3 linked regions of the Drosophila melanogaster genome follow. The protein of the gene in region 2 interacts with the protein of the main gene of each other region in a pairwise test. Each region holds a gene or a part of one and is shown on either strand. Other genes may lie near its edges. The genes, in order: Myo95E, CG9184 and CG16787.

The links.
Region 1: the proteins of CG9184 (region 2) and Myo95E interact in a two-hybrid assay, tested with the Drosophila melanogaster proteins (one large-scale study listed by BioGRID).
Region 3: the proteins of CG9184 (region 2) and CG16787 interact in a two-hybrid assay, tested with the Drosophila melanogaster proteins (one large-scale study listed by BioGRID).

The regions. Positions count from the first base shown.
Region 1 is NT_033777.3:24,157,323-24,165,935, reverse strand, and holds the start of Myo95E (myosin 95E), read left to right. Parts: upstream 1-4,646; 5' UTR 4,647-4,905; coding exon 4,906-5,010; intron 5,011-5,073; coding exon 5,074-5,189; intron 5,190-5,249; coding exon 5,250-6,288; intron 6,289-6,396; coding exon 6,397-6,460; intron 6,461-6,531; coding exon 6,532-6,545; intron 6,546-6,609; coding exon 6,610-6,694; intron 6,695-6,752; coding exon 6,753-6,847; intron 6,848-6,912; coding exon 6,913-7,060; intron 7,061-7,121; coding exon 7,122-7,444; intron 7,445-7,541; coding exon 7,542-7,789; intron 7,790-7,848; coding exon 7,849-8,545; intron 8,546-8,613. Other genes in the region: Apc2 (adenomatous polyposis coli 2), read right to left, coding at 1-1,063, 1,127-1,762; mRpS24 (mitochondrial ribosomal protein S24), read left to right, coding at 2,451-2,468, 2,529-2,718, 2,776-3,065; TBC1d7 (TBC1 domain family member 7), read right to left, coding at 3,110-3,196, 3,253-3,484, 3,545-4,146.
Region 2 is NT_037436.4:1,319,617-1,327,860, reverse strand, and holds CG9184 (uncharacterized protein), read left to right. Parts: upstream 1-5,054; 5' UTR 5,055-5,078; coding exon 5,079-5,109; intron 5,110-5,158; coding exon 5,159-5,856; 3' UTR 5,857-6,069; downstream 6,070-8,244. Other genes in the region: Myo61F (myosin 61F), read right to left, coding at 1-963, 1,026-1,488, 1,545-1,660, 1,722-1,866, 3,232-3,290.
Region 3 is NT_033778.4:23,953,006-23,961,183, reverse strand, and holds CG16787 (uncharacterized protein), read left to right. Parts: upstream 1-3,778; 5' UTR 3,779-4,001; coding exon 4,002-4,763; 3' UTR 4,764-4,849; downstream 4,850-8,178. Other genes in the region: alpha-Catr (alpha-catenin related), read right to left, coding at 465-671, 725-1,045, 1,104-2,611, 2,672-2,852, 2,965-2,994; thoc5, read right to left, coding at 4,889-5,131, 5,188-5,724, 5,778-5,865, 5,924-6,036, 6,091-6,885, 6,946-7,020; CG3803 (uncharacterized protein), read left to right, coding at 7,269-7,361, 7,443-7,545, 7,603-7,735, 7,794-8,178.

The sequences.
Region 1 (8,613 bases), on a different chromosome or scaffold from region 2:
TGGCCGAGGAGGACTTTGTCAGTTGCAACTCCTTACTTCTAATCTCATTGGTCTCCGACTTCAGCTCCGGCTGTGCCGTCTGAGCGGATCGTCTCTCCTTATATCTAGCACTGAAATCCGTTGGCTGATCCAAGTCGATCTCAAAGGTCTTACTGCTATTGGGTTTGTGCTCCATGTACTTCATGGAGTAGTCAATGGGCTGCTCTTCAGTGGGTGTCACAATTTCGAAGGGATTCTTCGCTCCCTCCGACTTGGTTGAGTATTTAGTGGAATCGGATTTGCCCGAGTAAATGGACTCTCGGCTCTCACATTTTCTGTTCAGAAAGCCAGTTGTGCTGACTGTTGAGGGTCGCACTTTCTTAAGCGATCCCGTGGGATTTGAGCTTAGGCGCAGTGAGCTGAATCTCCGTGGCAGCGTACCTCCATGGCCAGCTTCCTTGTCTAGTGGCAGTGACCCACCATCTCCATTGGGCATAAGCTCCTGAGTGGCCCTGAAATTAACTAGGTTTTTCAAAGCCGAGGCACTGCCCTCCGCAATCATGGAGTTCTTGGAGCTGATTAGGGCCCGCAAGAGCGGGATGGCATTGTGGTCAATGAGGTATTGCTGGTCCTCGGGACAGCGCGCCGAGAGATTCCACAGAGTTCCGCAGGAGTTGCTTACCACGGTTAGGCTCTCCGATTTCAACTGTTGCAACAGAATGGCAAGGCAATTGTACCGTCTTAGGATTTGTCGGTACGGCTCACACACCGCAATATGGCTCGATACATTTCGAAGAATGCCGCCTGCATTTTCGATGATCTTAAGAGTTTTACTCGGACCCTCGTAGCTAAGCATTCCGACCAAAAATGCCAGTGCTCCGTCTACTGCACAAAACTCCGCCTTGTTGGTGCTGCAGTGCGCTGAGAGATTCCAAAGGGCTGAAAGTATGGCCTTGAGAGTGTTCTCGTTCTTGTTTTGCATGGCTGCTCGAGCCAAGGAGGTCACAGTACCCAGCTCGTTAAAGATAGTCTTCATGTGTTTGTCCGCGCGCCACGAAAGATTGCGAAGCACACCAGCAAGAACCTGATGAGATCAACGGTAATTAAATTACGATCTTTTTTTCTTAATCTCCAAGATTAAACTCACCTGTAGCAGTTCATCCGGAGCCGTGTTCAATTGAGCAATGACCACTTCCATGAACTGTCGCTGACCGCACAGATACGATTTGTTATGGACGTTCTCGTCTCCGAAGGTGAGATTCGTGAGGGCCATGAGGCCGTAGCTCCTGAGGGCGTTGCACTGTTCCCTACCGGCAGCCGGTCCATGGACCGCATGATCAAGGTGGACCAAATTGGGAATCGCCTTGAGGGCTCCCAGTTCGCACATAGTCTGGCGGTGCTCCTCGTCGAAACTGGCTTTCATCAGGAGCTTCATAGCCGCCAGCGGATGACGATCTTCATCATCTGCGATAGCCTCACCGCCGCTCTGCAACTGGGTGTGCAGAAAGTTACAGTAGTCGAGGATCTGGTCCAGCAGGCGCAGCATCTTCACCTCCCGCTGGCGCTCCTTCTCCTCCGGATTATTGTGGACGATGTTGTGCAGCGCCTGGCTGGCGTACTTTTTCGCCGTGGAGAGGCCTTCGTCGTTGGCGTGCAGAATCTGCACCAGAAGCTGGATACAGTCCGAGCTGCGCAGGGCGGTGCATGTTTCCGGATTTCGAGACAGTTCCAGGAAGTTGCGCGTCAGCTCCAGGCGAGTAGCGTCGCTCTCGTTCAGCGTCATTACTTTGAATGTATCCTCACCTATTAGTGCATTCGGATACCAGGGATTCTGGGAATAAACCTTTGCAGCTTTGCTTCTGGATGAGTCCTGTTGCACGGTCGCTTCAACAGGTAGTTCCTTCTGATCTGAGATCCTCGATCTTTGTTTGAGATGGCCTGCGTTTAAGCCATTTTCCAAGCGCGCAGGCTCAGCGCTCCAGTGCTACCGATTAAGCTAATTTATAGCTAGTTCTGCCCAAGTTCAATGATCAGTCAAAGTTCTTTCGAATAAAGGGATTAATACAAAGTTAACTCTATTTATTAAGGAAGCTCTCAAAATGTTGTTTATTTATATATTTTAAATAAGCGTGCAATAATTTTATTACATTACATTATTACATTTTCCCACCGACAACTGTTGACAACTCTGCCCCGCTTTAAAACAAAATAAAAATCGATTTTAATCAATGCAATAGAGATCCAAGTATTGCATTTAAGAACTAAAAAGGGCATTTACACAACTAAAAATTAATCTTTCTGTGTTTTTATTTAACTACTTCCTTCAATGTTGTTTTTTATTTTATAGAAAATATTTTCACTACACAATAATAATATCGAATACTTATCTATAAATTTGTCCATCTCTAGCGAACCGTTACGTCACGTCAATCAGCTGTTGCTGGACGCAAAATTGTTTCTGCCGCAAAATAATGAACTTCTTGAAAAAGGTGTGTTAAATAACAACAAACAGGACAAATTATATATTAAAATAACCTAATCTATTGCAGCTGTTGCCCCAGGTGGCGACCGAGGTGCAGCAGCTCAGCCGGTCAGGATTCCACACCAGCTCCGTGTGCTGTCGCGTGCAATCCGGGCGATACCGCATAACCACAAAGCGAAACAGGCCTCTTACCTACGAGATGGCCAATCCGCCGCATTTTATTGGCCACCGCAAATCGTGGAACTCATGGAACACGTGTAAGTTGTGAGAAAATTTTATTAAGGAAGCATTTTGATGGCCACCTTCTATCTTAGCAACAATGAAGGATGCCCTGCGTCCGTCCCAGACCGCCATAGAGGATGTGTTCATCCGCAAGTTTGTCACCGGCACATGGCATGCCCTCGTCTGCTCCGAGGTCATTATCAAGCGACAGCACAACACCATTAGGATCGCGGCCCTTATTCGGCAGGCGATTACACCGCGAAAAATGTACTTCCTTATTGGTTACACGGAGGAGCTGCTCTCCTATTGGATGCAGTGTCCAGTGACCTTGGAACTGCAAACGGTGGGCGATAAAAAGGACGTGGTCTTCAAATACATTTAGTTCATTCTGCTATATACATGTCCAATATAAAAGTGTAGATTTACTTAGTGCGTGTACTCGACTTCGCTGCTGTTGTTTTGTAGTGATTTGATGGCCTTGTTTACGATAATAACACCGTCAAGATCCTTTACCTAAGGCAAATTTTGGATAAGTTATGGCTTAGCAAATGGTTTCCTTATTTACTTACCGTTTCTATAAGTCTTTTGACGTCTGCTAAAGATGTTTGCTTTAGTATCGAGGACCTTATGTCCTTAACTAGTTCTACAAACAGGAAAACAACAATCTTCCGGGACCCTCCACAGACTTTGTCCCATATCTTGACCAAATGAGTTGTACAGATTATTCCAGCAAAGCAGGTTATATACCAGTTATCCAGTAGCGTTGAGTTGCCATCAAACAGGCCCAGAAGCTCCAGGTGACTATAAGGAGTAATCGAAGAAAATTGGTCAAATAACCCGACTAACCATATGCAAACTCACTTAAGCAAGGACAAATCTTCGCGCTTCAGTATATTCTGCGTTTGCTCCTTCAGCTTGACGCACTCCTTCTTCAGTTCGCGGGTGTACTTGTAGAATCCCTTTGCTATCCAGTAGGTTTCCACGTTGTCGTCGAATATCTGCAGCAACGTGCGCACAATCTCTATGAAGTGCATGTCGTCCGCCTGGAGACTGGCACTAGTATTGCCATGCCACAGTCGATTGGACTCTATCAGCCACATGGTGTGCATGACCTGTGCTTTCTTCTTATGGTCTATCAGCCACATGAAGGGCTGCTCCTTCTGCTTATGGTCGGTAAACCGGAGCACGGTTACCGCTCGCCGCAGATCCTCGTACATTTCGCGTCTTTGGTCGCGTACGTACGCCGTGGACGCTTTGTGGAGCGGGAGAATACCCATGACCAGGGCCCACAGATAGCTCCTATTGTTGTTCGGCACTGTGTAGTTCATGCAGAATTGTTTCAGCTTGCTCAGGTTGCGGATGTCATCCTGTAGTAGTTTGTTCAGCGACTTTTGTTCCTCGACGCTGTTTATTTGGCATTTTTCATAGTAGATGGACCTGAAGTTTCGCTCGTCAGTATTCATGGTAATTTTTGCGTTTATTATCCTAACAATAGGGATGGCAAACCCACCGCGAAGAATAACCAGCTTCGATTACCGACGCTGGTAACACCCTAGCAATGTTTATACTATAATTTTAAAACCATTTTGAGAGCTTAAGTCTAGTAAAATAATAGCCTTTTAAATATAACAGATATTAATAAACCATTCAATTTAATATAAAATTAATTGTTATTTTAAAACTATTAAAATTAGATATAATAATCTTTGTAGGGTATGCGAATCGATTGGTGGCTCAGAGACTATATCGATATGGTCGTCGATGGCTGGGCCACCACTAGTACCCACTGGATGCAAAAATGTCTTTTCTGAAAAGGTAAACAAAATGTGCAAATCGTTGCGAATAAAGACAATAATACGCTAAAAACGAAGGCGTAGAAGGGCAGTCGGGAGTCCTGTTGTCACGGATATTAGAAGCCGGACTCTATCTATCCGGAATATATGAGTGAACACGAGCTCGAGGCTGTTGCTCGCCAGCACATGAAAATCAATAATTGAATCAGAAAATCAAAACACGGATTCGCCCAGATGCATGCAGGCCCGCGATAAATTATGCAATTGTTGGAGCCATTAACAACCCCCCTTACCCTTCCCATCGTTCCCGTTCTTGTTTTGGCCCCGTTTGCAGTTGATGTATTCAAATTCAAATGGTGAACTCGATTTTGGCCGTTGTCGTTGTTGTCACTACTGCCGTGCACGTTGTAATTGGAGCTGGGAATCGCGATGGAGCAGGAAATCGGCACCTGGGACTCGGTACTGTTGGAGAACCTGTCCGAGGATAGTTTCATAAACAACATCCACCAGCGCTATAAGCGCGATCACATATATGTGAGTCCGTACAGTTCTACACTCTTCAGATTTCTATACATTTCCGTATATATTCATTTCCAGACCTACATTGGAACATCTGTTGTGGCTCTGAATCCATATCATCACATATCCGAGCACTCTCTGGACAATGTCCGCAACTATGGCGATAAGGGCATTTTCCAGCTGCCGCCCCACATGTAAGATATCATTTAGGAGGCTGGCCCATTATCTTTACTTATACAACTTTTTTTCATCAGATATGGTCTCACAAATCTGGCTTATCAATCGCTCAAAGATCAGAGCGAGGATCAGTGTGTTCTGCTCACCGGTGAGAGCGGAGCGGGCAAAACGGAGACTTTTAAAATGATCGTGAACTTTCTGACCCACATACAAGATCGCTCCCACTGCCCCCCAACACCGAATGTTTTGCGCAAGCAATCCTCAACTAGCTCGGCCAGCGGATTGGTGATGCACGCCCACAGGCGAGCCTCCAGCAGCTGCTCCGGCACTGCCAATTTTATTATATGCAAAAACCGGGCGGAAAATCCGTCAGGCAGTGTTTCACGGCGACAAAGTCCATCGCCAGGACCATCGCAGCGATCGCGGACGCGGGCCGAGAGCATCGAGCGCCAAAGCAGGCGCCACATGCGGGAGAAAATTGTCGACTTTGATTTCTCACACCACAAGAGTAGCGAAAACATCAGCGGCCTTCCTGAATCGCACGCCCACCACATGCATCCGACCAAGTCGTGCTTCAAGCACCAGCAGACCCAAGTCAGCGCCTGCACTGCAATGCCCGCAGCAGCCAAGGGATCGCCCAAATACGCGGTACCCACCGTGTACGGCGGTTGCCGCCAGTGCGGACACAGCAAGTGTGTCCGTGCTCAGAGCCTGGAAAAGGAGGAGCGGGATGATCTACGAGGCAGCAACTGCCGCCTGTCTACCATAGCCACTGCCACCACCAATCCGGCACATCCGCATCGCGGTAGTTGCTCCAACCTGATGCGCCAGCACTCGACAGAGAGTCAGCCGGAGCGGGAGCGGGATCGAAGCTCCCTTATGGGGTCCACGCAACGTATATCGCTGTACGATGCACACAAGCTGAGTAAGGTTCTGGGCGATCTGCCGCCGCCTCCGCCTAGTTCTGTTTCGCCCACGCCATCGGCCAGCTCTTCGCTGCACAGGCGTCATAAATCGCCCACGCAACGAATGCGAGAGTGCGTCACCTGTGCGGATGTGTTCCTGGAGGCCATGGGCAATGCCTGCACCCTGAAAAATAATAACTCTAGTCGATATGTAAGTGAAATGTGTATGTACTGAAATGTGCAAGAATACCTCCGCACTTTTACAGAGATAACTTAAATATGACTTTAATTTTAATTTTCTATTGTTTTTTGATTTCAGGGAAAGCTATTTGATATCGAAATTGATTTTAAGGGAGATCCAATGGGAGTGCACATTACCCATTGTAAGTAAAACTCCACCTATTAATTATAAATATGTATTCTGACATTTATTTAATTCGTGCGTACTTCTAAGATATGTTGGAAAAGGTTTGATTGATAATTTTAATTAACTTAGTTTAGTTATTATGTCTAATATTTCATCTGTTTGCAGACCCGTATAACGGACCCTATCATTGGAGAGCGAAATTTTCACATCTTTTACCAATTACTATTAGGAGCTGATCTCCAGTTGCTAAGTAAGATGTTTCACTCGTTTTAAATGCTACCTGCTAAATGCTATTGCTATCTTCTTAGAATCGCTCAAGCTGTATCGAAATGTGGAAAAGTACGAGCTGCTCCGCAACACAACTGCCATGGAGGAGGACCGCATGAATTTTCATTATACGAAGGTTAGATCTTAACCGGATTATTATATAAGTGAACAAATAACCGATGGGTTTCACTTCTATTCCAGCGATCCTTGGATGTGCTGGGACTTAGTTGTGAAGAGAGCAACTCCATCTTTCGGGTCATCGCAGTGGTTCTAAAGTTGGGTAACTTTATTTTCGTACCCATTACTAACATTGATGGAACTGAGGGTTGTCAGGTGTCCAATGTATACGGTATGTTTATTAAGTTTATTATATTACCGGCAACATAATTTATAATATATTCCATTTACAGAAGTTCAAGAAACAGCACAGCTTCTTAATATGGAAGCCCAAATTCTCATAAATTGCTTAACCAGAGCGAATAGCACGAACAGCGCTCAAGAGGATGTGGGTTGCGAAATGGATGCACGACAAGCAGCTACCAACCGAAACACGCTGTGTCGCACTCTTTATAGCCGTCTCTTCACGTGGCTGGTGAACAAAATTAATGAGTCCCTGAAGTCAACACAGCGCGAAAAGAACCTAGCATTGCTAGATTTTTATGGATTCGAAGCGCTGGACCACAACTCATTTGAGCAATTTGCCATTAACTACAGCGCGGAAAAGATCCACCAGGCAAGTACACATGACTCATCCACTTTAGTTAATGAAAATTACATTGTCTTAAATTAAAGGTCTTTAATATTGTAATTTAATCCTTCTCCCATTTCAGAATTTTGTGTTTCATGTGCTGCGTTCGGAGCAAGAGCTCTATATTCGCGAGGGATTGGAATGGTCTCGCATTGACTATTTCGACAACGAGTCTATTTGCGAGTTAATAGACAAACCCAGCTATGGTATATTGAGCTTGATTAATGAACCCCATTTAAATAGCAACGACGCTTTGCTTTTGCGAGTTCAGCAATGTTGTGCGGGGCATCCCAACTTTATGACCACCGGCAGCAATTCCATGTGCTTTCAGTATGTAATTGAGCAATGTGATCTCATTCTCAATAATGTCTCAATGTCTTTATTTTCAGGATTCGTCATTATGCAAGTGTAGTGAACTACTCAATACATCGGTTTCTCGAAAAGAACTCCGACATGCTGCCGAAGTACATAAGCGCTGCCTTTTATCAGAGCAAACTTTCTTTGGTGCAAAGCCTATTCCCCGAGGGGAATCCCCGTCGACAGGTTACCAAAAAGCCCAGCACGTTGAGTTCGAATATCCGCACCCAATTGCAGACGCTGCTGGCCATCGTTAAGCATCGCCGCTCCCACTATGTGTTCTGTATTAAGCCCAACGAGGGCAAGCAGCCGCACCAGTTCGATATGGCTCTAGTGCAACATCAGGTGCGCTACATGTCGCTCATGCCGCTGGTCCACCTGTGTCGCACTGGCCATTGCTACCACCTGTTGCACGTTAAGTTTTTTCATCGCTATAAGTTGCTCAACAGCCTGACGTGGCCCCACTTTCATGGCGGCAGTCAGGTAGAGGGTATCGCCCTCATAATCCGTAACCTACCGCTGCCCTCAGCGGAGTTCACGATCGGCACCAAAAATGTGTTCGTGCGTAGTCCCCGCACCGTATATGAGTTGGAACAGTTTCGCCGCCTGCGTATTAGCGAGCTGGCCGTGCTTATTCAAACCATGTTCCGAATGTATCACGCAAGGAAGCGCTTTCAGCGCATGCGACACAGCCAGATGATCATATCGAGTGCCTGGCGCACGTGGCGGGTAAGCAGTTTTGTGGGAAATCTATTAATTTGCATGATGAGATTTGTATTACTCTCATTTTCTGCATG
Region 2 (8,244 bases):
CTTCAGGCTGCGCAGCTCCTTCTCCGGGAAGCAGTTCCTCACAATGCCGTTGCCAGCCTTGCTGAGGGTCTCCTTTAGATCCCTGAACAACAGGTCGTTGTTCTTGTCCAGGAATCCATTGACACTGTAGGTGACCTCGCCGGCATAGTGCACCAAGCGGAACTCATCGCGCAGCATGATTTTCTTGATGTGGGCGGGCGCCTTTTCGTGGCAAACGTAGTGGTGGTGCTGGGCCAATTTCTGGGTGAGCTTCTCAAGGAAGGTCTTATCCGTGGGCTCTCCTGGTCGCAAGCACTCCTCGTCCAGTATGGAGATGATGCCCTTGTGCTTCTCCTCGATCAGATTGCAAATCACCTTGTTGTCGAAGTACTCCACAGGTATCCACTCGATGCCCTCCCGGCGGTATTCATCCTGCTCCGACTTAAGGGTAAGCTCGATGAACAGCTGCTGCAGCTTCTCGTTGCAGAAATTGATGCAGAACTGCTCAAAGCTGTTCTTCTGGAAGATCTCGAAGCCATAGATGTCCAGAATGCCCATCACATTATTTCTGGATGCCCGCGTTTCCTTCGCCTGCAGCGAGATGTTGAGGCGCTGAACCAGCCAGGAGAACAGACGATCATAGACAGCCTTGGCCAAGGCGTCCCTGGCATAGATGGCGAGCTCCTGGTTCAGTGGTGAGGTCACCACATCTCCCCGAGCGTCAATTGTGCGGTGCGTTAGGGCGGCTTCCAGTTCGCTTGCGTTTACACCCAGCAAACGAGCAGCGGTGACTACCAGATCCCTGCTGTTCACCTTGGCATTGCCCTCCACCTCAGTGAAGCCAACGTTTCCTAGATGCAGAATGCTGGCCACGATTCCGAAGATCTCGCGCTGCTCCTCCTTGGTGAAATCGATCACAGTGAGAGCCTGCTGGACCTGCTTGAAGCTGTCCGCATCGTTAATTCTCGTCACGGTGCCATTGAGCTGTGGATTAGAACTCGAAGATCAGAGACCAATTGTCAATACCCTCCAGGCTGCCCACTTACCCCATCTGTCAGGTAGCTATAAGTGTCCAGAGCCCGCTCCAGGCGCAGTTCCTGCAGAAGGGCCTCGTCGGCGCCGGCCAAGAGTTGGTAGAAGATGTGGAAGTTGCGCTCGCCTCCCATTTGAGCCACCACTCGCGACTTTTCCAGCAGATAGTTTAGGATGTTGCCTCCGATCGGAGCTCCTTTGAAATCGAACTGGATGTCCATGTACTTGCCGAACCGCGAGGAGTTGTCATTGCGGTTTGTCTTGGCATTGCCGAAGGCCTCCAGCACGGGATTGCTCTTTAGCAGCTTGTCCTTGACGCCCTCGACGGTCGTCTGGTTGCCGGAGCAGGCGGCTATGAACTGCAGCACCTTCTTGGAGGCCTCTGTCTTGCCGGAACCACTCTCTCCGGAGATGAGCACGCACTGGCCGCGGTTCTCCTCGATCAGCGAACGGAAGGCGTTGTCAGTCACCGCAAAGCTGGACAGGAATGCTCATTATTTGGTGGTTCAATGCAACTTGGTCTTGAGACTCACATGTGTGGGGGCATCTCGTAGAAGTGCTTGTTTCTGTACGCCTTGACATGGTCATCGGTGTAGATGGGCAGCTGCTTGTAGGGATTCACGGAGATCAACACCTGGCCAATGTAGGTCTGCGAAAGGGGATATCGTTATCATTATTTTGACCTATCTTCTTTAACTATTTTTACTCACATAGATCAGGTCCTCCTGGAACCGCTTCTTCAGATTCCCGATGAAGGCTTCTTCGCTCTGGTAGTTCTCGAGGAGCACAAAGTCCTGGACTCCAGCACGATCACGCTCGTGCAGGCCCGTCTCCATTTTCAGTTGGGAATTAAAACTAAAGCAAAGAAAGGGGTTCACATAAGCATCAAAATGATTCCTTAAATACAGATCCCACAGAAACGATTGGTGCTTGCTTCATTGTTAATTTTTCAACTTCCTAAGAAAATCCTCTTCATAGGTCTTATCTTTGACGAACCTAATCGGACTGCCCAGCTGAAAGGGTTGCCATGTTTAACCACCTTGATTAGGAAAAACCTCTTGAAAACCAATTCAGAAAAGCCCCATAGAAAGCCGAAACCCCAAAGATAAGATTTTCGCTATTCGACAATATTTTATAACAGTCCTGCGGAAATGAATCAGGCAAATGATAGTGACTCGTGAATGTGGATATTGTTGATCAATTCCAAATGATCTCATCAGACATATCCAATATAATATTCTATATGAGTCCCAATGCAAATACCCAATCTGGGGTATTTATAGATCCATAGAAGTAATGGTGGGCAGGTGCAATTCACCTTATCAATGCCATATTTCATGGGGCCAAGGGAAGTGGGCAAGTGGTAAGAGTTTGCTTTATTGGACGACTGCTCCAGTTCTGCTGATACGCGGCGGGTAAAACCATAAAAGAAACGATTATGCAATGGATTTGTGACTGGTAGGATTTCTAAGATTCCTAAGAAATGCTGGTCATATAACTGTGGGATTATCCAAGGACACTTCACTAGGTCACTGAGTAAACAATTGCACATCTCTAGATGGATTCTCTTCAAATCACGCTTCTTCTACCTGGCCATGTTTGTTCGATTCTTCTTGTTCCACAACACTACTGCACAAACACCACTGATAGCTCCAATTGATGATTCTCTGGAGGATGTGTCAGATTCCGCGCATATTCCGCCCTTTGACGGCTCCGTTGGCAAACTAAACCGATCCGCTGGCAGTTGAGGCGTTTTAACCATCAATACTTCTCCTCTCCACATATCAATTGGCCTCGTCGGAATTTGTGTTGTTCTTTTTTTTTAGTCGGCACATTTATCAACGATAATATACCTATGACTGCGATGAGGAGGGCAATGCCGCCAATCAGTCCCCGATTAGATAGTGCCTTTCGCGAATAAACTCGGGACCCGATTTAGGAGACCATGACAGAAACGCAGCGCACCAAAGAATTCCGGATCGGCTGTATTCCGGAGTTCCAAGTACCTGAGATCACGATACGTCTTTTTCGCATGCGTCAATCCTAAAGATATATGCGTTCCCATCTCCCATCATTCCGAGCAACCCAATGTTTTCAGTTGATTCATAATGTGGTTCCTCCTAGCTACGCGAACCAGTTTCTTGGTTTTTAGATAACTAATCAAGAATTATTCTATATGATTTATAATCTATTCACTTTCTTTATCTTAGCACTGCTTACTCTATGTAGTCCTTAGTATCCATTATTGCGAAGATCAAGGATTTGATTTCAATGTACATAAGGAATTCCTTTACTTAGTTCTTGCTCCACAATTAGCTAATTTCATAAACTTGCTTCTCCAAAATGTAAATTATAACTTAATGCTTTCAAGATTTCTAGATGACTGCCGCGCTTTCGGGACATTTCTGAGTGAGTCAGAGCTCGAAACTCACAACCCCGACTCAGAAAAGTGCTCCAGCTCACATTAGCACTGTGTTATCAGCTATCAGTGTGCTAAATAATAAGTCATTGCCGAATGAAAACATTGTAAGTACACACACTAGATTGCAATTGCCTCCACCGCCACTATTGTGTGTTTCCATCCACTCTGCGCCACTTGGAAGGGGATTTGCTGTGTGGAACTGGAACGAATGCCTGACTAATTGCGAAATGTTTGCCGGGAAGACTTCCCAGGAATTCTCGAAGAGACCGGCAGACACGTCCCAGTCGTTGGAGCCGAGCTCGCCGTGATTCGATGTTTGTCACATAATTGTTTAATTGCACGTAGGGCAGATGGAAGTGGATATCGATCATGTCGAAAACCATATACGAATACATCACCCAATGGGCACAGCCATTTGCAGTCATTCTGCAATCACTTTAGCACTTTTGACAAACCAACCATCGCCTAAGATTATGCTACGTCTATTTAAGGAATCCACAAGTTGGAGGGCAGGTGAGTGCAGATCTCATGGAACTGTTTGGGATCCAATTGACACGAGTATATGTTGTATGATAAGAGAGTTGCCAAAGTTGACTGGGTGGCGGGGCAAGCCTCTACAGATACTTTCATGATTAGATAAACTAGCTGGGGGATATAAAATGAATTAAACTGTAAATATTAATGAGTGTGTAGTCATTATAATTATACTTTGCTCAATATCCCTGCAATAACACGGTTTCTCCCTACTATGAAGTCATTGACTTTCTGTTCCCTGGGGGCGTTGCTTTTGTCGGCTTGATCCACTCTTTCTTTAATCCCCATTCAGCGGTCTAATAGAGTGGGGAACTGGTTTCCCGATCCAGAAATACTCCAACGGGTGATGTAACAGAGAACTCCACATTTTGTTGTATCAGACGACTCGTAAACATGTCTACGACACACGACCTATAACGGAACCCAAAAACCATGAGTCCCACCCAAACGAAAAAGTTCCTAACCCATTAATCGCACACCGAAAGAAATAGTCGAGCATTAAGAATAGGAAACCAAGAGGCAGAGGCTGATTTGCTTTGTAGCGAGATGGAGAAATACATTCGTAAAAAGTAAAGATAAGTTCTAAAGACGGAAACTCAACGATAATACAATAAGTTCAAGGGCACATATTTCCAAAAAATTTGTTGCCAACTCAAGAGCTTTGCTGAATATTTTTTTGTTCAGTGGCATGACCAACCTTCATCTGCATTCAAATGTCGTCATATATCAAGCAGCAATATCGCGGGATATTGAACTCTTCGAATTCATTTGGAAAAATGCAGGGCTGGCAGAACGATCATGGAAGTGGAATGAGAAGTGGAAAGATCCCACAAAGCCCCTACAAGCATTTATATCATATGCAAATTAATGAGCGCAGTTATTAGAACGGTGCTTGATCGATCCGAGATCGAGATCGAGTTCGAGCTGGAGCTGGAGCTGGGGATGGAGATGGAGATGGACACAGAAGAAAGAAAGGCATCCCAAATTTGGGCCACTGCATGGGTTATTCTAATGAGGAAACCGGGAACGAGATCCCACACATCTCATCACAGATGCACCGCGTATAAAAGGGCAATGCAACTGGAGTGGTCAGGTTATTCCGAGAGAGATCATGGATCGGAGAGTGACTGCGATTGGTTTGGGTGAGTACGGACGATCGGCTGCCTAGAAAGAGTGACACATCCTTTTCAGTTATCCTGCAGCTGCTGGTCAGCGGCCTCTGTTTCCAGGAGAAGGCGCCACTGCAGACGAGCCTGGTCAGCGGACAGGCCAGGACCGAAAAGCAGCAACAGGTGCTGGACGATCCGCTGGGAAGTGGACGCGGGATTGACGAGCACCTGCTGAAGACCATTGGTAAGGGCGGCATCAAGCTGGTGATGGCCTCGGGAGCCCCGTCGACCACCCCGAAACCGTCAGTACAACACCATTACTATTATCCACCAGAGGATCAGCAGCACCCACGGCAGTATGGCTATCCACCGCAGTGGTCGCCAGGACCGCCCGCTTATCCGCCGCCACCGCAGCGTCCTTGGGGGCCACCCCCTCCGCCCGGACCACCGCCGCCAGGACCTCCTCCTCCGCCGGGACCCTACTACAATCCCTACTACAATGGCTACAACTACTACGGCGGATATGGCGGCTATGGATATGGGGGCTTTGGATATCCCGGCTTTGGCGGCTATTCTGGCTATCCCTACTATCCCTTCTATCGCTCCTCGACGGCTGGCGAGGTCGATAACCAACTTCCCGGTGCCGATGGACTCACTTCCGCCGCCATTCCTGGCGTTTTCCAGGGCAGGGCCGTGCTGTCCCACCAGAACTTCCTCGACGGCAGGAACAACGCTAACGTTGTGCCACTTTATCACCTACTCCAAATGGCCAGGGCTTGAAGTACTCTAATCCAATCATTGATTAAAACTTAATAAATTGTGTACCATGTATATTCCGAGTAACCGCGTGATGCATTGTAGTTCTTACTTATCATCGCATGCGTTCTAGTTTATAGCCCTATTCAATATCTAATCGATTCTGACTGGATAAATGTTTAAAGAAATCGTCCAACTGAAAGCCCATAATAGTAGAAACAGAATTGCAGAAAGGAGAAAGGCAGAAGGTGTTTCTATTAATCCACTCGAGATTGACGATTACTTAAACCCTGATAATAGCTTTGCCAGATCATCCAACTGAATGGATCGTTAGATTATAAAGAACCCAGTTGAGGCCGCTGACCGAGAGTAAAGATGATCGAATTCGTTCAAACGATCGTCATCATCGTCATTTCTCGCACCCGCAAAGACTGGAAATTCAAATTCAAACTGGGCAAACTTATCGAGCCGGTTGCAAATACATATGTATATAAGAGAATCTGGACGCTCGGTTGCTGAGTCACCCGCTTTTAGGGACGAGTCTTCTGGGCACGAGGAGATCTCGAGGAGATCACGCCGCCATTGTGACGCATGCCAAGTGCCTGGGTCTCGGTCTCGGATAACCATTAAGTATTAAACAATCACTGGGGCCCGCTGTTTTCTTAGCTCACTGCGAGCCATAAAAAGCGTCAACAGCTGAGGCCGATCTTGAACGCGATTTACTGCCAATTGCAAAAAAAAAAGAAAAAATCTGCTGAAAGAGCTGCCCAAAAGCGTTTCGTTTTGTTTCGTTTTTGCCTTTCCTACTGTTTTGGCCGCTTCAAAACAGACTTTTTGCTCGTACTCACGTCGAATAAGAGTTTGGAGTTTGGGATTGGGGCTTCCACGAAAAGCCCTTACTTGGCACTTTACCGAACCTGAGCAAATCCGAGGTGCGATGTAATGGTGATCCCAACACGAGCTCACTCAAGCTCACTCCTCCGTCGAAAGAAATGGAATGGAGTGGAAGTGCTGGCTCCGTGTTCTTGGTTCCTCGCCAGTCGAACTTTATGACTAGTGGGGATTTTTGCTATAATTGTACTTGTGCCATACAATTGATTGAATGGGGCATATTGCCACATGGCCAATTACCGCTTTATTAAGGTGGATCAGCAGTTTCTCAGCCAGGATACTACAGATAATAGTAGAATGCCGTCAATATTTGTAATTTAAAAGGTGAAAATGAATCGTAACTTCTTTAAGAGATCGTATCTTATACATCTTTAAAGAACAATGTCTGAATGAATCCATTCACTAGGTAAGACCAGGTCATTCTCTACTCTTCCAAGTGACACATCTGCCCATTCATAAAAGAGGGCATACCAATTGTCGACCAGACCTCCACATCTTTCGTGGAAAAGCGATGTGCTTCGATGGACGTTTACGACAATCGCTTGTGGTCTTTTGTCGATTCAACTTAATTTTCGTATCTTATCTTATTAGACATTAATTAATGTCATAATGCAGCTGGCTAAGAAGAGGTAAAAGCACCCTGTATGTACATATGTAGAGCGTACACGATCAATATCATATCAGTAAAACTGGTTGAACCCAGCGAGAAGATAACGCCACCGATTCCGATAAGAGAAAGTTCAAGTTTGTCATCAGGCCGCGATTTCGAAATTTTTTCAGGTGGGTGCGGGTCGCCGTTTCCCCTAGACACCAGGTTATGCTATATTTCGAATATTCCGTGGACTCCATAGAGTCAAATGGGCACATGACAAGGCTGGGCGATAATAAATATCGCAATTACCCGAACCAAAAGGCGTGCAATTTTATTTCCTTCTCCGGTTCTTCGTTTGTTCTCTTGGCCTCTGGGTTTGTTTGCCAAACGGTTAGTTCGCAGAAAGTTGGCATTACATCATTACCAAAATTCGGGTTTTCGTGATACGCTTGGTTTTCCAATTCGTTTCTTTTGGGTGCCAAGTGTGAGGCAATGACATTGGGGGCAATGCTTTGTGCACTCGAAAAAAGGTGTTCTACAATCGCCTCTAGTCTAGCTTCAATACCATTAAGTACTTTAAAAGTGAGCAGATCCCAGATATTTTAAGACTACAGGTAGGTATTTGACAATATTATTATATTGTTGCGAGCTTGTATTTGAACAGCTGCCAGATTTGGCGAATCATTCGGTTTCGTTTTCGATCCATTGCAGTTGGTTATTTTTAAGCGGCTTATTGCCGCTGTTTTCAAAACTGGGTCAAATTAATGGAGGGCCGTCGCAGTGTGGAAACGAAATTGAAATTTGATACAATTTCAATTGGTCAGCGAGTAGGCAAGCGGAGCAAGGGGATACATCCCCGCCAGCTATATCCACCGATTACTCATGTCTCCCCCATAGCCAAACACATACGCCCTGTTGACCCTCTTTGT
Region 3 (8,178 bases), on a different chromosome or scaffold from region 2:
AGTTCGTAGAGGAGCTGGCACTGCAGCTTATGAGTGGCCAAAACCAATTGTTGGTTAAAGGTCACAGTTGGGTTAGATAAACACACGATGGGGGATCTTATCAAGCTATCAACTCAACTCAACTCAAAACTCAATACATCAAGATACATATGTACATACATGCGTGAAATACAAAAGTTAGCGATTAAGATTAAGATACAGCGCCATCTACATTAGCAAAGTCGAAAGTAAGAGATGTAACTAATAAGATTGAGAGTTTAGAAACGGGGATTGAAGCACATCCTCAAAAACCAAAAGGCTTCTCCTGCGCCCCTGGCAACAAACGAAAGCTCTAAAATCATACCTGTAATAATGCATGCTTTAATATCACAGTAAACTATAGAAATCATACACATTGAGAAAGTCTGTAGTATCATCCACTACATATAGGAAATGGCCGCGTGGGCCTGCCTCGGCCTATTTACCTTAGTTGCGCACTCAAAGCACTTCGACACTACTTTGTTTATAACGTTCATAAGGTTCTTGGTTTCCCTGATGACGTGATCGACCTTCACGAAGGTGGCGGCTTTACCAACCGTGTGGTCTTTGACTGTAAACTGGAGTGCTTGGACAAAAGTCGGCACTCTATCTAAAATGTTGAGGAGATCCTTTTTGTTGTCACTGGCGGGAACCTAAACAAGCGCAGAGTTAGCGACACGGATGCCCATTATCAACCGATAATTACCTGGTATGAAAAGTGGCGGAGGACTTTGTAAAGTCGATTGGCCTCCTCCGCAAAATATTCGGCTTGAGTAAACAAATCCTGAGTTGTTCTTAGAGAACCGTTGCCCTTGGTAAACTGATACATTAGGAAAGCCATCGCGGACATGTTCTTGGCTCTCTTCAGTATGTCGTTGTCGTCCGACAAGTCTTCGCTCCATTTTGATTGATATGTGTTCAGATCTCCGTTGTTCTTGCCTTCGAGGCCAGAATACTCAACCATTTCTCCGTCTTCTGTTGCAGGTACACCGGATTTTGTTAGTTTGTCTGAGGAGCTTTCGCATTTCTGGGGAAGATCGGAAGTAAGTTAGTGATTACCTCGCCCACTCTGGGCAGCAACCCACCTCAGCATCAGCATCTCTGTCACCCTTGGTGGTGTTGATCGAGACGAGGATCTTCTTGGCGATCATGGAGATCTCGTTCGTCAGCCACTTCCACATGTCCGAGAAGGACTCGAAGTTCTCGTTGGCCGCACTGCTGTTGGAGTACTTCCACAGGATTTTGGCCGCGATGAAGACCTGCGGCCCGTAGATCCGCAGGTTGATCGCCAGGCACTTGGCCTGCACCTGCAGCCGCTCCGTGGGCGCAATGTGCTGCAGCAGCTTGCAGATGTCGAAGATGTGATCGCAGCAGTCGTGGAACTTCGAGGAGCGCTGGTTCAGATTGTCGATGTCGTAGTTCGTTGCCAGTACGTGGAACGACTTGACCAGCTTGGAGCAGATCTTGAGCGACTCGTTGAAATCCTCGATCTGGCTGGACACGGAGACGACCAACTGCTTGCACAGCTCCTCCAGGCTGCTCAGCATACCCAGTTCGGGATCTGACCGACCCTTCACCTGGCCTCCGCCCACTCCTCCAACTCCACCGGCTCCACCGCCACCCTCGTGCTGATCCTTCATGATGGTGTTCAGGTAGAGGTCGAACTCCAGCTTGCAGTTGTCGCAGTAGGAGAGGATGTTCTTCCGATGGTTGTGGCTGATGTAGGGGGAGTCGGTGAAGTCGTGTGCCTTCTCGAACAGCTTCTCGAAGGCGAGCGAGAGCTCCTCGCGCAGGTCCAGGCTCTCGGAGCTGAGGTGCTTCCTGAAGTTCGTGTTGTTCACCATGCGGCCGCCGCCCGCCGCGGAGGGCAGGTTCTTCTCCGACTTCCACAGGTCATCGTCCAGGAAACTGAAGTAGGCGTCGGAGTTGTTGTTGCCCTCGCCAGAGCCCTCGTAGTAGCTCATCTGGTACTTGTACCGCTTGATGAGGTTCACAATGCGCTTTATTGTCGTGTAGATGCTCTCGTTCTCGTAGTTCGGGTTGCTCGCCTGCTTCTCGAACGGCATGTGCTTGGCCGTGTCGAAGATGCTGTCCTTCACCACGAAATGGATGAGGTCCATGGCCCTGCGGATCTGGCAGAACACAGTGTCCCGGTTCTCCTTCACGATCACGCAGTCGCTGTGGATCAGGCTGTTCTTCGAGGACGTCAACAGGATGGCGATGGACTTCTCCAGTATCTGGCGGGCCGAGAACATCTGCGCCCGCCGTCGCTCCTCCTTGAAGGAGTTGCGGTGGTGGCCCGTGAGGTAGGCCAGCTCAATCATCTCGGTTCCGAACACGGAGAAGGCGCGCACGAATTCCGTGAAGTTCATGACCGACTCCAGCTTCTCCAGGCTCTCGGAGGCCCGCTTCTTGGCGGTCAGCAGCTTCTTCACAACTATGATGTCGACCAGCAGTAGGATGCGCGTGACGGACGACAGCAGGGAGCGGGCCGCCAAAATGATGGCTCCATAGTCCTTAAGGGGCTCGATGTGGTGGCGCAGCTCCATGCCGCTTAGAGGTGAAATATCACAAAGTCGTTCAATCGATTTTCCTATCGTACAACAAAATACAATGAAAAGGATGTACCAGGCTGGAAAGGATGTCTTCTTACCCGCATCTCTGGCCTCCTTCGCCGCCTCGTACATGTCTCCCTTGATGTCAATATTCTCCTCGGCGATGATCTCGCCAATGGTTATAAATCGCTCCACGGCAATGTTCAGCAGGTGACCTATGTTCCCAAAAGTGGACATGATCTGCTCGTTATCCATATCACGAACTCGAAAGCGTTGATTCTGGAGAGGGGAAGGAGAGCCCACATTGGCAGTTGGTTGGGTTTCAAGGCCAATCAATAATCGCTGAGGACTAGAACGGAAAGTTATCCCGGACAGCCGGTTGGGTACTTACGTTAACAGTTGATTGAGTGATTCCGTACATTTTGGATAGCTCGGTTACCGATAGAAAAATTGATTATACGTAGTTTAAGAGTATCCGCAAAGCGAGTTTCAGGCATGCAGCATTTTTATTTACTTCCTATTGATTTTTCTCAATACTAGGGCTAGCAGAGTCGAGTAGACATTGCAACTAAGTCGAGAATTTGGCACTCAATAATACGGTCACCGATTAGCGCGTCATAGTACGAGGCTCTATGGGTTTAAGCTCAAATAAAAGTCGATTTTTCAGCCAGCGAAAGCTCCTCAGCTCAAATTAGTGTTATATAGCTGGGTGGCTGTAAACAACGTGTTTACCTGCAGACAGATATATGTGTATGCCCCCAGATTTGTGTGTGATTCGAGCTTGTAACAAATTGGTCTGCGCAGCAAGTCTGCGCACAAAACCATTTAGTACTGTAAAGTGCAACAGTTTCTCGTCAAACGCCTCCTGTGGGATTCGATGCGGATGCGAGTGCCTGGATTCGATGCTTGTTGAGGTACCAAACATTTATCAGAAGAACAACCAAGAAAACCGCATAAGGCAACTCCAAAACCATGTACTTACATAAATGAAAAGTGTTTGAGATTATTGCACTTCAAAAAAGAGACAACATATTTCATGTAATAAGCTTGAAACACTAAATTCAAACCAAATAAGTTATATTTTCCATTTTCATGACTTCCGGTTGCGGAAGTTAATTTGTGAAACTAATCCGGCATGACAACCCTGGACAACGGGAGTTCCCCTAACATCCACACTGGCACTCGCAGCTATTGGGACATTACACACAGTCTGGCCACACTGCAGCCCAACGACCATATGATTTTTGCCGAGTATTTTATTTCCAAATGTTGTTACCTAAACACGAGCACGTCAAATTCCTGAGGGCCGCAAACGAAAAATAGCCAGGATCTAAGTTCAATTTGAATGGTGTGATCTGCAGACGAGGCAGATCTGAATCGAGGAAACCCAGTTCCGGTGAAGGAAGTAGCACACAAAGTCCTTGCAAGATGTTGCGAAATTTCGGGATTTCATCAATAAGAAGGAGCAGCTGGATGGCCAACTGGTGCTCCAAGGAGCGGGCGTGGGCGTCCGCCATGCGGCTAAGTGCGTCTGCGCCGGCGAAGTGTCCACAAAAGTTGTTAAACAGCCATGCCGCCAATAACCTCCAGCAAAGTCGAAGGGCCTACGAGAGCACCAAAGCGGAGAGGCTGCCCGGGAACCCTAAGGAGAACGAGCGTAAGCCCGAGGACCTGGATAGAGCCTACGAGGTTCTGAGGACCACGCTACCAAAGCTGTTCGTGGAGCCCCTAGACTACTCCATTTACAGCCCGGGCCTAATCTTCCACAACAACATAACGGGCAAGCACACGGTGGGCCTGTACCACTACGTCAAACAGATCGCCATCCTGCGAACGGTTGGCCACCTGAAGTACGCCTACGTGAAATTCGAGGTGCTCAAGATCACGAAGCACCAGGACGACTACACAGTGCGGATAAGGTGGCGAGTGCGCGGCATTTCCGGCCTGAAGGTCATGTTCCAGTTCTGGAAGTACAAGCTCTGGCAACTGAAGGAGGTGCTGAAGGATCAGGAGGCCTGGTACGACGGCTACTCTGTCTGCTATCTGGGCGACGATGGGCTGATCGTCAAGCACGTCGTGGACAAAGTGATGCCGGACGAGAGTCGGGAGGCGGTTGAGAACCCTTCTGCGACGGCACTACCTCCCGGATCCTTGGCAGCGACCTCTTCCCAGAAGATCAACTGCCAATGAAGTCGTAGCTAGCTAGCTTTAAATGTTACTTATTTATTGTATTACTAATCGTAATAAACGCAACTGTGAGAACGTTTAGTAACCGCATTGGCGCATTGTGTTGTACAACATTCGTTATTCAACTGTCACTGCTTGAACGCGTAGACCGATCCCTTCTTGATGTATTTGTAGGGGCGTGAGCGGCTCCGCTTGGCGAAGGCGCTTATGTAAGGCTTCTCCTTGTTGTACTCAATGGTGTTTTGCATGGATCCCTCGGTTTCGAGGAATATATCGAAGCTGTAGATGGTGCGGAAGAGCTGCGCGTACAGGATGCAGTCGTTGGGCTCCAAATGTTTGGGCTGCAGGGAGTTGGTCCAGAACTCCATCATCTGAGGAATACAAGTTTAAAAGCTAATTGGAGGATAATACCTGAATAAGTTCAAACCTTGATCGCCGAATTGTTTTGCGCGGTAAGGCATCCGTTCCAGTGCACATTCAGAATCCATAGAGGCATTTCCAGTGGATAGTTACTCGGTATTCTAATAAAGCACTCCATTTTGGCCGATCCCCGGACGATGACAGCGCGGTAAGAGTTGTACGTAATACCCTTGTCCGCTGACGAAGAATTCAGTGCGTCTGAAATTTGCGAGTGAAGCTCCTCATGTGTGATGGCAGTCCATTGGACGAGACTGCACGACAGGCCGGCTGGATAGATGTTCTCCTGCAAGCTATACAAATCGATATCCTTGAAGGTCAGCCCGCGAATCTGCTGGCTTAAACGCTGCCAAGAGTTCAAGCGCCTGGCAATGCGGTCAATAATCTCCTTGTTGTTCTTATTCAAGTTCAGTTCGTGTTTGTACAGCATCGAACTGTTGACGGTTGCAATCGAGCACATACTTTGCAGCCAACAGAAGGGTTTTCCGTAGTCCTTGGCCTTGAGGTAGCGCACACATTCCTCGGCTGTTAAATCCGAGCTTCGTAGCTGAAAGAGCGTAATTTAATTGGTTGTCCAACGTTGGATAAGGAAGTTCTTACCTCGTATTGGATTCCCGGAATGGGTAATTCATTGCCCAAGTCATTGGGGTACAAATGCCGCAATAGGTGGTGAACAAAGTTTGTGTCACTGTGAAAAAATGCCTAGTTATTTATGCGATTTTTTCCTAGGTGTGTTCCAAACTTACCCCTGGCCGTTGGCATTCCTGGAGCAGTTAAGTTGGCCCCAGACAGTGGCACACTTGATAAAATCAAAGTAGCGAATCTGCAAAACGAGCTGATTCGATCCAGCCGCTCCAATCTTTAAAGTTTAGGTTAATAAATGTTTTGGAATGAGCAAACCATGTCATCCTACCGTCAAACAAATGTGTAGTGGGTGAGGAGCGAGTGAGTCGTCCAAGTTGTTTTTATCGGCAATCTTTTCCCGGTCTCCACTTTCCTTTTTAGTCTGTCTGTAGTTCAATGTGGAGCACTTTTTCTCCTTAAGCAACTCCTGCATTTGAGCCTCGCTCTCATAGCCAACCACCTCGGCGGTGAAGGACTGCTCCTCGCTGACCCGCTGCAGCGATTGCAGGACAATGAACAAAACGTAGAGCGGCTTGGGCAGGTACTTGACCACTGCGCTTAGCTTCCATTCCACGTCCAGGGATAGCTGGAGTGCATCGTGCAGCGGCTTTGTGGCGCTCTGCAGAGTGCGCAAGGCGGGTGCGAAGGAGACGTACCGCTGGGCGTGGCTAAGATTGTCCTGGAGCAGTTCCTGCTTGGAGCTCAGCAGGGCGCTGTACTGCTTGTCGAGTGCCTTCCGCAGACGCAGCTCGCAGTCGAGGCGATGAAGGTGCTGCTTGTGGCTGGACAGCTCCTCCGCGTCGTTGGGCATGTCTGGCAGCTCGCTGGAGTACTCGGCTTCCGAGAGCAGCTCCAAGCTGGTGTCCCTGCTCTTGAACTTCTGGCAGCGCACAATCTCCTTCTTCAGGTGGCTCACTTCGTACAGAAGATTCTGCAGCTGCAGCCGGCTGAGGTCCACCTTGCACTTTTCCAGGTGCAGCTTGTCGCGCCCCGCTTTGATCTTGTGCTTCACCTCGCGGTTGGCGTGCTTCAGAGCCACGAACATCAAGGTGGTGGCAATGCGAGCCTCATCCGTCGATTGCCCCTGCTCGTGACGGATGTGGACGGATTTAGAGCTGTACTCTGGCACGGAAATCGGACTTACCTTGCTCTTCGCCTCCTTAATTCCCTCTATGGCCTTTTGCAGCTGATCGAACTGCGTGTTCAATATTGTTTCCATTTTATTTGGCGAAATTGTAAATCAGAAGCCGCAAAAGTTGTTTTTATTAACAAAACTGATATAATGTGGCCAGGCTATCGAGTCGATAACATTCGCCGGTACTTTTCAAAATGATTTTAGTATATGCGCATACCCCACTGCTGCGGTCACACTTGGTAGCGGCTTTGTAAATATAGTTAAAAAACAAAATATATCCTTTAATATTTGCTGTAAGCTTAAGTTAATCTCTCCAAACTTGAAATAACACAATGCTGCGATTGCTCCAGAAGAGAACCAATCTCATAAAGCTAGTAGTACCCGGCCCCCGACTTCACCAGACGATTGCGCAAACAGCGATAAAGGTTGCATTAATATCCCACTGATTACATATAAAAATATGTTTTTATTTATAAAGTAATATTTGTTAATGCCGCACCTTTCAGGAAATCCCAGTGATAAAGCCCATCAGCACTCCGAAAAGCGACAAGACCGTCGGAAGATGGTTCCTGGGAGTCAGCGGCATGGTCTTCGTGGCCGTTGGTCTAGGTAACCAATAACAAAATGTAAAGTTTGTAGTTCCTTGCGAAAGTGAATCTCTTCCAGGCGGAGTAACCCGACTGACAGAGTCCGGACTGTCCATGGTCACTTGGAAGCTGACGGGTGAACGTATGCCCCGAACCCAGGAGGAATGGGTGCAGGAGTTCAATCTCTACCAGCAATACCCAGAGTACAAGCTGTGAGTACTCCCCAGATTCATCCAACGCCAGGAACTACATGCAAACTTCTGCTTTCAGAAAGAATGTGAATATGACCGTGGAGGAGTTCAAGTTCATTTTCATGATGGAGTACATGCACAGGATGTGGGGTCGTGCCATCGGCGGGTTCTTCCTTTTGCCCGCTGTTTACTTCTGGAGAAAGGGATACTTCTGTGCGAAGACCAAGAAGAGCGTCCTGCTGCTGGGCACACTGATTGGCCTGCAAGGTCTGATGGGATGGTACATGGTCAAGTCCGGGCTGGAAGACAGGTTCCAGGATCCCAACGACGTGCCACGGGTATCCCAGTATAGATTGGCCTCCCACCTGGCAGCTGCCTTCGTCCTGTACTCACTCTCCCTGTCAAAGGCCATGTCCCTGCTCATCCCCACGAACACATTCGTGATCCAAGCCAAGAAAGCATTT